Linked DNA regions of Saccharomyces cerevisiae S288C. The protein of the gene in region 1 binds, or shares a complex with, the protein of each later gene. Each region holds a gene or a part of one and is shown in the gene's direction. Other genes may lie near its edges. The genes, in order: VID28 and GID8.

Evidence for each region.
Region 2: the proteins of VID28 (region 1) and GID8 are in contact, whole or in part, in a cryo-EM structure (PDB 7NS3), measured with the Saccharomyces cerevisiae proteins. Residues at the interface, in NP_012247.3 of Saccharomyces cerevisiae: Asn15 (codon at 2,263), Leu17 (codon at 2,269), Val18 (codon at 2,272), Gly19 (codon at 2,275), Asp20 (codon at 2,278), Gln21 (codon at 2,281), Leu22 (codon at 2,284), Lys24 (codon at 2,290), Asp56 (codon at 2,386), Tyr59 (codon at 2,395), Thr60 (codon at 2,398), His63 (codon at 2,407), Gln68 (codon at 2,422), Phe77 (codon at 2,449), Asp78 (codon at 2,452), Ser81 (codon at 2,461), Lys106 (codon at 2,536), Ala112 (codon at 2,554), Tyr115 (codon at 2,563), Pro116 (codon at 2,566), Asn117 (codon at 2,569), Cys118 (codon at 2,572), Gly119 (codon at 2,575), Phe120 (codon at 2,578), Leu123 (codon at 2,587), Ser141 (codon at 2,641), Cys143 (codon at 2,647), Lys144 (codon at 2,650), Ile145 (codon at 2,653), Val148 (codon at 2,662); in NP_013854.1 of Saccharomyces cerevisiae: Glu151 (codon at 2,130), Asn154 (codon at 2,139), Leu159 (codon at 2,154), Glu160 (codon at 2,157), Leu162 (codon at 2,163), Glu163 (codon at 2,166), His194 (codon at 2,259), Asn232 (codon at 2,373), Ile236 (codon at 2,385), Lys237 (codon at 2,388), His299 (codon at 2,574), Pro300 (codon at 2,577), Arg301 (codon at 2,580), Gln303 (codon at 2,586), Phe304 (codon at 2,589), Ser307 (codon at 2,598), Asn308 (codon at 2,601), Lys322 (codon at 2,643), Ile323 (codon at 2,646), Ile324 (codon at 2,649), Phe328 (codon at 2,661), Thr329 (codon at 2,664), Val330 (codon at 2,667), Tyr331 (codon at 2,670), Asn332 (codon at 2,673), Asn334 (codon at 2,679), Leu335 (codon at 2,682), Val336 (codon at 2,685), Asn337 (codon at 2,688), Gly338 (codon at 2,691).

What each region holds. Positions count from the first base shown.
Region 1 is NC_001141.2:317,684-323,185, reverse strand, and holds VID28 (glucose-induced degradation complex subunit VID28), read left to right. Parts: upstream 1-2,220; coding exon 2,221-4,986; downstream 4,987-5,502. Other genes in the region: aspartyl protease BAR1, read right to left, coding at 1-844; SNL1 (Snl1p), read right to left, coding at 1,253-1,732; 60S ribosomal protein uL2 RPL2B, read right to left, coding at 5,254-5,502. UniProt on the Saccharomyces cerevisiae protein: Component of the GID E3 ligase complex recruiting N termini and catalyzing ubiquitination of proteins targeted for degradation.
Region 2 is NC_001145.3:538,012-541,735, reverse strand, and holds GID8 (glucose-induced degradation complex subunit GID8), read left to right. Parts: upstream 1-1,679; coding exon 1,680-3,047; downstream 3,048-3,724. Other genes in the region: GAT2 (Gat2p), read right to left, coding at 1-537; ERG29 (Erg29p), read right to left, coding at 3,185-3,724. UniProt on the Saccharomyces cerevisiae protein: Component of the GID E3 ligase complex recruiting N termini and catalyzing ubiquitination of proteins targeted for degradation.

The sequences.
Region 1 (5,502 bases):
ACTTGGTCGTCGTAAACGTTTCATGTTCACAACTACTTTTGTTTTGGGCACCTAATCCTTGTATAGTCATTGCTAAAGTTGCAGGAGCGTCGACTATTGTGGGATATTCATTTACCATAGGGAAAGTGAACAAATCACCAGAAAACTTTGATTCATCAATGGCACCAAAAACAATCGAACCAGTACCTGAATCAGGTGAGTTTAAGAACAGCGAATACGCGACCACATCGATTATTTTTTCACTTTTTAAAATCTGAGGAAAATTAGGATAATATTCATTAGGAGCACCTTCATAGCCCTTAACGGACTCTCTTCTAGGAAACCCAATTCCAAGAACACCACTAACGGGTGTCGTAGCATACTTGGCAACTCCGAACTGGATATTGGGGATGTCAATTCCATTAATTGATACAGTTTCCGTCCCCCAACTACCGTCAGCAAATGTTCCGTCAGCATATGTGATGTAAAACCTACCATTTTCCAGATATTGGTAGGTGGAAGATCTATGCTCATTATAAGTACTCATAGACCTGCAATCAATTGAAGGCTTAACTTCTTCGCCATTATAAGTTGCGTTTGAATAGGATGACGTATTTGAATTTGGTAAGCAGAAGGGATTGCTAGAATCCATAACCCAAAAATCGGCAGATCCGGTATCAAACAACACTGTCAGACTTTGGGACGGTGTACCTATATCTAAGGTTGTTGCGTAATACATCTCCTCTTCGTGTTGTAAAAGGAATTCTAAGTGACCAGTGCCATCGTTTGTTAAAGCAGTAATGGTGTTAATAATCGCGAAACTCGCCAAAATAAGTTTCAAACAAAGATGATTAATTGCAGACATTATATGACCCTTCTAGACACTCTTTTTATTTTGGTATGATTTTAGGCGATACGAACCACTAGAATTAAATCACGCGAAGATCATTAAAGAATTCATCATGACAAGGCTCGACGTGCTTTCTCTTCACTTTTATACTGTTATCAAAAAACACACACATTCAATAACTATAATGTGGTGTGTTTCAGAATAGCTGGCTGTGTATACATGTTATTGTCGCTATTATGTGACACTCGCCATGTAATTTCCTTTTACGGTAATTACATGCCATGTTTCAGCATGATGTCGGAGGTAGAAAAACAGGGACAACGCATCTCTAATATAATAAATGCAACAAATGTGTACCGTACCGGAATGAGTGCAGCCTATGAATTCGGCAAGAGCCGTTATCTATAAACTAAAAATACAAACTTATTTAAGAGAGTCCAAACTTTTTAACATAGCCTGAATTTCCTTTATGACGCCTTTCCTTTTTTCCTTCAACGGCCTTCTTAAGGACTCATCCACGTTAATCAAATCGATACTGTCTAACTCAATCAGCAACTTCAAAAGCATTTCGTTGCAATAGTTACGCTCGTAGATGTCCTTTTCATCTTCCACATCAAATCTGTTTATTAGATCCTTGCTACGACCTTCCAACTCGTTGCCGTATCTCAACGACACATTGTCAATTTGTTCTTCTAGAGTCAGAGGAACCGGCGCTTTTTCAAACTGATTCTTACCTTTCTTGTTCTTTTTAGAAGCCCTCTTTTTACTGCTTTTTCCCTTGCTGCCATTGGGTCTTCTGATTGTAACCAAAAATACAACAGCAATCACGGCCAAGAGGACGTACGTCGAGGTACTTGTTTTGCTCAGCTTGCTCTTCCAATGTTCCATTGCGTTGTGCGACATTACGGAAACGTACAATTGCCCTTCTGGTGCTATTTTTTCACCAACAAACAGGATTGAAACCAGCACTACAGAGCTGATTCCATCTTTTTTTCTACTGGTTATGTCAGTTCGCGATATTTTTTTTCAATATCGACCAAATGATAGTAAAGGCAAATTGAATTAGATGAGCACAAGTCTTCCATTTAAAAACCCCTCTAGCTATGGCTCTCCTTCAAGTCCATATGCGCTCTTGAAAAAGCATGCTTGCCGATTGAATTGCAGGTAGCATAAATGGTTTTGCTTGTGTATGAAGCTTTTGACCTTATATTCGTCATCCGTTATAAGTGATTAGACTGAAGGGGCGCGAACTAAACTAATTAGATTATAATACGTTTTATAGGGATATCACTACAAACTGCGGCCTAAGAGGATGATCTTCATGGCGGAAACTTGCAGTTTTCCTGTATCATTGCCCTCGTGTTAGATTGGTGATATATTACAGTTACACTATGACGGTGGCTTATTCCCTAGAGAATCTCAAAAAGATTAGTAATTCCCTGGTGGGAGACCAGTTGGCTAAGGTAGATTACTTTTTGGCTCCAAAGTGCCAGATTTTTCAATGTTTGTTGTCCATTGAGCAAAGTGACGGTGTAGAGTTAAAAAATGCGAAATTAGATCTGCTATATACCCTTTTACATCTAGAACCGCAACAAAGGGATATAGTAGGCACATATTACTTTGATATTGTGTCCGCAATCTATAAGTCCATGAGTTTGGCAAGCAGTTTTACTAAAAATAATTCTTCGACAAACTATAAGTACATAAAGCTTCTAAATTTGTGTGCAGGAGTTTATCCAAATTGCGGATTCCCAGACTTGCAATACCTCCAGAACGGGTTCATCCAGTTAGTCAACCATAAATTTTTGAGGAGCAAATGTAAAATTGATGAGGTGGTCACGATTATTGAATTATTGAAGTTGTTTTTACTTGTGGACGAGAAAAATTGCAGCGACTTCAACAAGAGCAAGTTTATGGAGGAAGAGAGAGAAGTGACAGAAACTTCACACTACCAAGATTTTAAAATGGCAGAATCCCTTGAACACATAATAGTTAAAATATCATCGAAGTACTTGGACCAAATAAGCCTCAAGTATATAGTGAGGCTAAAAGTATCCAGGCCAGCGTCACCATCCAGCGTCAAGAACGATCCGTTTGACAATAAAGGGGTCGACTGCACCCGTGCCATACCTAAAAAAATCAATATCTCAAACATGTATGATTCTAGTTTACTCTCATTGGCACTCCTTCTATATCTAAGATATCATTATATGATACCGGGTGATAGGAAACTGCGGAATGATGCGACGTTCAAGATGTTCGTTCTGGGTCTTTTGAAGAGTAATGACGTTAACATTAGGTGCGTGGCCCTGAAGTTTTTGTTACAACCGTACTTTACAGAGGATAAGAAATGGGAAGATACGCGTACACTCGAGAAAATACTACCCTATTTAGTTAAGTCATTTAATTATGACCCGTTGCCTTGGTGGTTTGATCCATTCGATATGCTGGATTCATTGATTGTGTTGTATAATGAAATTACTCCAATGAATAATCCTGTGCTCACCACGCTAGCTCATACAAACGTTATATTTTGCATTCTATCCCGTTTTGCGCAGTGTCTTTCTCTACCACAACACAATGAAGCTACTTTGAAAACAACTACAAAATTCATTAAAATATGTGCGTCATTTGCAGCATCGGACGAAAAATACCGTCTTTTACTGTTGAATGACACATTGTTGTTGAATCATTTAGAATACGGGTTGGAATCCCACATTACTTTGATACAGGATTTTATATCTTTGAAAGATGAGATAAAGGAAACAACTACGGAAAGTCATTCTATGTGTTTACCCCCAATATATGATCACGATTTCGTGGCAGCTTGGTTACTATTGTTGAAATCATTCTCGAGAAGTGTTTCAGCGCTTAGGACGACGTTGAAGAGAAATAAAATTGCACAGCTGCTTTTACAGATACTAAGTAAAACATATACGTTGACCAAGGAATGCTATTTTGCTGGACAAGATTTTATGAAACCGGAAATTATGATTATGGGCATTACTCTGGGTAGTATTTGTAACTTCGTGGTGGAGTTCTCTAATTTACAGTCATTTATGCTGAGAAACGGTATAATCGATATAATTGAAAAGATGTTAACAGATCCATTGTTTAACTCAAAAAAAGCCTGGGACGATAATGAAGATGAAAGAAGGATTGCATTGCAAGGCATACCTGTGCATGAAGTGAAGGCAAACTCTTTATGGGTACTAAGGCATCTAATGTACAATTGCCAGAATGAAGAGAAGTTTCAGCTTTTGGCCAAAATCCCGATGAATTTAATTTTGGATTTTATTAATGATCCATGTTGGGCAGTACAAGCCCAATGTTTTCAGTTGCTCAGAAATTTGACTTGTAATTCAAGGAAAATTGTAAATATTCTTTTGGAAAAATTTAAAGATGTAGAATACAAGATCGATCCTCAAACAGGTAATAAAATTAGCATCGGCTCAACGTATCTTTTCGAATTTCTTGCAAAGAAGATGAGGCTTTTAAATCCATTAGACACTCAACAAAAGAAAGCAATGGAAGGCATCCTATATATTATCGTGAATCTAGCGGCAGTCAATGAGAATAAAAAGCAGCTAGTCATCGAACAAGACGAAATATTGAACATTATGAGTGAAATATTGGTAGAAACAACGACTGATAGTTCAAGTAATGGTAATGACAGCAATCTGAAATTGGCATGCCTCTGGGTACTCAATAACTTACTTTGGAATTCATCAGTTTCACATTATACCCAATATGCAATTGAAAATGGTCTGGAACCAGGGCATTCACCAAGTGATTCAGAAAACCCTCAATCTACGGTGACAATCGGGTATAATGAATCAGTGGCTGGTGGATATTCTAGGGGGAAATACTACGATGAGCCAGATGGCGATGATAGCAGTAGCAATGCGAATGATGATGAAGATGACGATAATGATGAGGGTGATGATGAAGGCGATGAGTTCGTTCGCACCCCGGCTGCAAAAGGTAGTACATCAAATGTACAAGTAACACGTGCCACGGTGGAAAGATGTAGAAAACTCGTGGAGGTAGGATTATACGATCTGGTTAGAAAAAATATTACAGACGAATCATTATCTGTCAGGGAAAAGGCCAGAACGTTACTATATCACATGGACCTGCTTTTGAAAGTTAAATGAATGCACAGAACTCGTAGTATTTCCTACAATTAATTTATGCTATAGTTTTTTAAATAGTATTTTCGCAGAAGAATCCATAACTGCAAGCTTACGTTTAACTAAAATTTCTGTGATAGGAAGTAGCTGGCTGAATTTATTCTCATGTCAAAGAAAAAAAAGTATGCATAGAAATATCACTTTATAAGGAACGTTTCGGATTAAATTATATAATATTTAAGAAAATTGATAAAATAATATGACAGAAGGAAGAAACCAAAATTAAAAAGATTAATCTTGGGTCTTTTGAGAACCACGTAGTAAACCGGTTCTTCTGGCAGCAATCAAACCAGCCTTTTGACCAGAAACGGCACCTCTAGAGATAGTAGAAGCCTTACCAATATGTTGATGGTTACCACCACCGTGAGGGTGATCAACTGGATTCATGGCAACACCACGGGTCTTTGGCCAAGAGTTTCTCTTCAATCTGTACTTGTGGAAAGCACGACCAGCCTTCAACAATGGTTTGTCAACTCTACC
Region 2 (3,724 bases), on another chromosome or scaffold:
ATCGTTATTAATGTTATCAGTACCAATGCCATTATTGGTTTTATTGTAAACTGGTACTTGTTGGAAATGAATATCAGTAGCAACAGGAGCATGCATTTGAGGGTGAATATTATTTAGCTGAAAGTGAGAAATATTGGGCGGCATGTGGGGATCCGGTATGATGCTGACCAGCCGCTGAGGAGCAGAAGGAATTTGGTGTGTATTTCTATAATGTGAGTTGTTGGATATTTGAATATTAACGGCGGGAAGAACAGAATTAATGTTGTTATTTTTTATAGTGTTGTTACTATGGTTGTTGTTATCATTATTGTTGGGATGATGATAGTAGTATGCGTAGTTGTTGTTTGCGCTGTTTATATGGGCATTCGGTCCATTATAATGCTGCAAGGGTAATGGAGAATTTATAGTTACAGTAGAATGCAAAGGATCTACTCTCGGAGCAGAATGGTCAAAAACAAGTTGTGGAGGACCGTATGTGAACCCGGGCAGTGCTTGTGGCTGTGTTTGAGAGAAGGGGTAGATATTGGGGGCTTGCATCTCGATGAAATTTTTTGAGACAAGTCGTAAAAGCCCTTTATTAAAGTGAAAACAAACAATTCACTATGAACGAAAACAATATTAGAGCAAAGGAAATCACTAAAAGTAGATGGAGAAAATAAAAAAACGCCGTGAACGGAAATAGAAGAAATATGAGGGGACGCAAGGAAGTAAAAGGACCAGGAAAGAAAAAATCCTCCTTCAATATATACCAAGATATACAAGAAACTGAAACTCAAAAAATAACTTTTATACAAGATTGCCGACACGAAGAAAGGAAACGATAGCCGAATGTCTTAATGCAATAACAACTGCATTAACAATTAAGCAAATTTAGGAAATTTGCTTATAACCTTATATTTCAAAATAACCGTTGAGTTTTAGCTTTTGCACAATTCCGCGCCGGGCCCCGCGCAGGGAAAATCGCAGCAGCCGGAAAAACCGCCATCCAGCACCTTCAGTTGGGGAAAGCAAAGCAACCGAACGAAACTATATCTGAGATAAGGGCGGTGCAAAAAGAATGTGAAACCACGCTTGAAAAATGAAGTCACGGTTACACTATCTCCAACTCTGCAGGGTACAGTGCTTCTGATCGTGCATCCTTTTGTGGTCTGGACCAGCGTCGACGCGGCGACAGAAGTAGCGATGTTTCGCAGTGATAGACGCGTAGCGGTACAGGCCTGCGGCGGCTGTTGTGCGGTGACGTGCCCATGACTCAACAAAAAAATAAAAATAAGCAAACGGAAAAACCATATTAGTTCCCCTTTCTGCTGCTCCTACTCCTGTGCGTTTTCTCTTGCGCTCCTTTTTTCCCTGTTTTATTTTTTTTGTGTTTTTCGCTCGGCTTGGGTTTGTGTGTACGGCCCTTTTTGGGATCCCGGAGTTTATTTGACTGTTGTCCGGATCCGTTCCGAGTGAATGGTAATCGCTCCATTGTGTTGCTGTTTATCACTATCAGTGTCGATCTCGCTTTCCTGACTCTGCCGGCGCGGTGCCCCGGTTCGTTGCAGGAGACATTTTGATGGTACATCATTTTTCTTGAAGCTAACATGTGTAATTTGGTCATTAAATTGCAAGCAAAGGGGCAGTAGAGACAAATATCAGCCGGATGAAGATATATTTGTGTGTGGTAACAAATAGAAATGACTATATCTACTCTTAGTAACGAGACCACGAAGAGCGGATCTTGCAGCGGCCAAGGCAAGAATGGTGGGAAAGACTTTACGTATGGAAAGAAGTGCTTCACGAAGGAAGAATGGAAGGAGCAGGTGGCCAAGTATTCTGCCATGGGCGAGCTATATGCAAATAAGACAATACATTATCCGCTGAAAATTCAGCCCAACAGCAGTGGCGGCTCGCAGGACGAGGGATTTGCTACCATACAGACCACACCCATAGAGCCCACACTGCCACGGCTTCTGTTGAACTACTTTGTTTCTATGGCATATGAAGACTCGAGCATTAGGATGGCCAAGGAGCTGGGATTTATACGGAACAACAAAGACATTGCGGTTTTCAATGATTTGTACAAGATCAAGGAGCGTTTCCATATCAAACATCTTATTAAGCTGGGGCGTATCAATGAGGCGATGGAGGAGATAAACTCTATCTTCGGGCTGGAGGTGCTGGAAGAGACTTTCAATGCTACGGGAAGTTATACGGGTAGAACTGACAGGCAGCAGCAGCAGCAGCAGCAGCAGTTTGACATAGATGGAGATTTACACTTCAAACTGCTGTTACTGAATTTGATCGAGATGATAAGAAGTCACCATCAACAGGAGAACATCACCAAGGATTCCAACGACTTTATACTCAATCTAATTCAGTATTCTCAAAATAAACTTGCAATAAAGGCTTCGTCAAGTGTCAAAAAGATGCAAGAGTTAGAATTAGCAATGACTCTGCTGCTTTTCCCCTTGTCAGATTCGGCGGACAGCGGCAGCATTAAGCTGCCCAAATCGTTACAAAATCTGTACTCGATATCTCTAAGATCTAAGATAGCAGATCTGGTTAATGAGAAGCTGCTGAAGTTTATTCATCCAAGGATTCAATTTGAGATCAGCAATAATAATTCCAAATTTCCAGATTTGTTAAATTCCGACAAGAAAATAATTACGCAGAACTTCACGGTGTATAACAACAATCTCGTCAATGGTTCAAATGGTACAAAAATAACTCACATTTCGTCTGACCAACCTATCAACGAAAAGATGTCAAGCAACGAGGTCACGGCTGCTGCTAATTCAGTTTGGCTAAATCAAAGGGATGGAAATGTTGGCACAGGTTCAGCGGCGACAACTTTTCATAACTTAGAAAATAAAAATTACTGGAATCAAACTTCTGAATTGCTTTCCTCTTCAAATGGAAAGGAAAAAGGTTTAGAATTCAATAATTACTACTCTTCCGAATTTCCCTATGAACCAAGATTGACGCAGATAATGAAACTGTGGTGTTGGTGCGAAAATCAGCTTCATCACAACCAAATAGGGGTTCCTAGGGTCGAAAACTGACATACATAGTACGTATATATTTATATATGTGTGTGTGCGTGTGCATGTGTGAGTGAGTGTGTGTGTGTGTGTGTGTGTGTGCCTACCTGCATGTATGCATTTAGCAATTGATTTTTCTTTTTTTTTTTTGGAAGCTTTCATAGTATGAATTCGCATTTTATCGTGTTTCCCGTATCAATCTTCAGGAAACATAATTGAACATCATCGATATTCAATGGCAGTAGTTCATCTTTATGATTGTAAATTTTGACACCGTTGGAAATCGTAAACTTTCTTGCCCCTTCACCGCCCTCATTCTTAATTATATCGCGATATATTTCGCAATCTTTAAAGTAGTGGTAAAGTCTCAGCCTCAATACACGCAAGGTAGTACCAAACTCAGGTCTTTTTTCATTTTCATAATCCTCTGGAGAAAATTCAACATGAAATTTTAATGGGGTGGACAGAAGTTCTTTCCCATCTACAATAACATTACATTCGACATCCAATTCTGATACAAACACAGGTTTTGCAAAAAACTTATCGCGATCTTCGAACTCTTCAATAACAATACCGCTTTTCTCGTCTTTGTATTCTTTACCGTGATATTCATCACTCACCAACATCCGATGAAGCTTCAGACTTTCATCGATTCTTCCACGCTCTAGTTCTTCTGATGTGTTCTTTTGTAGAAGACT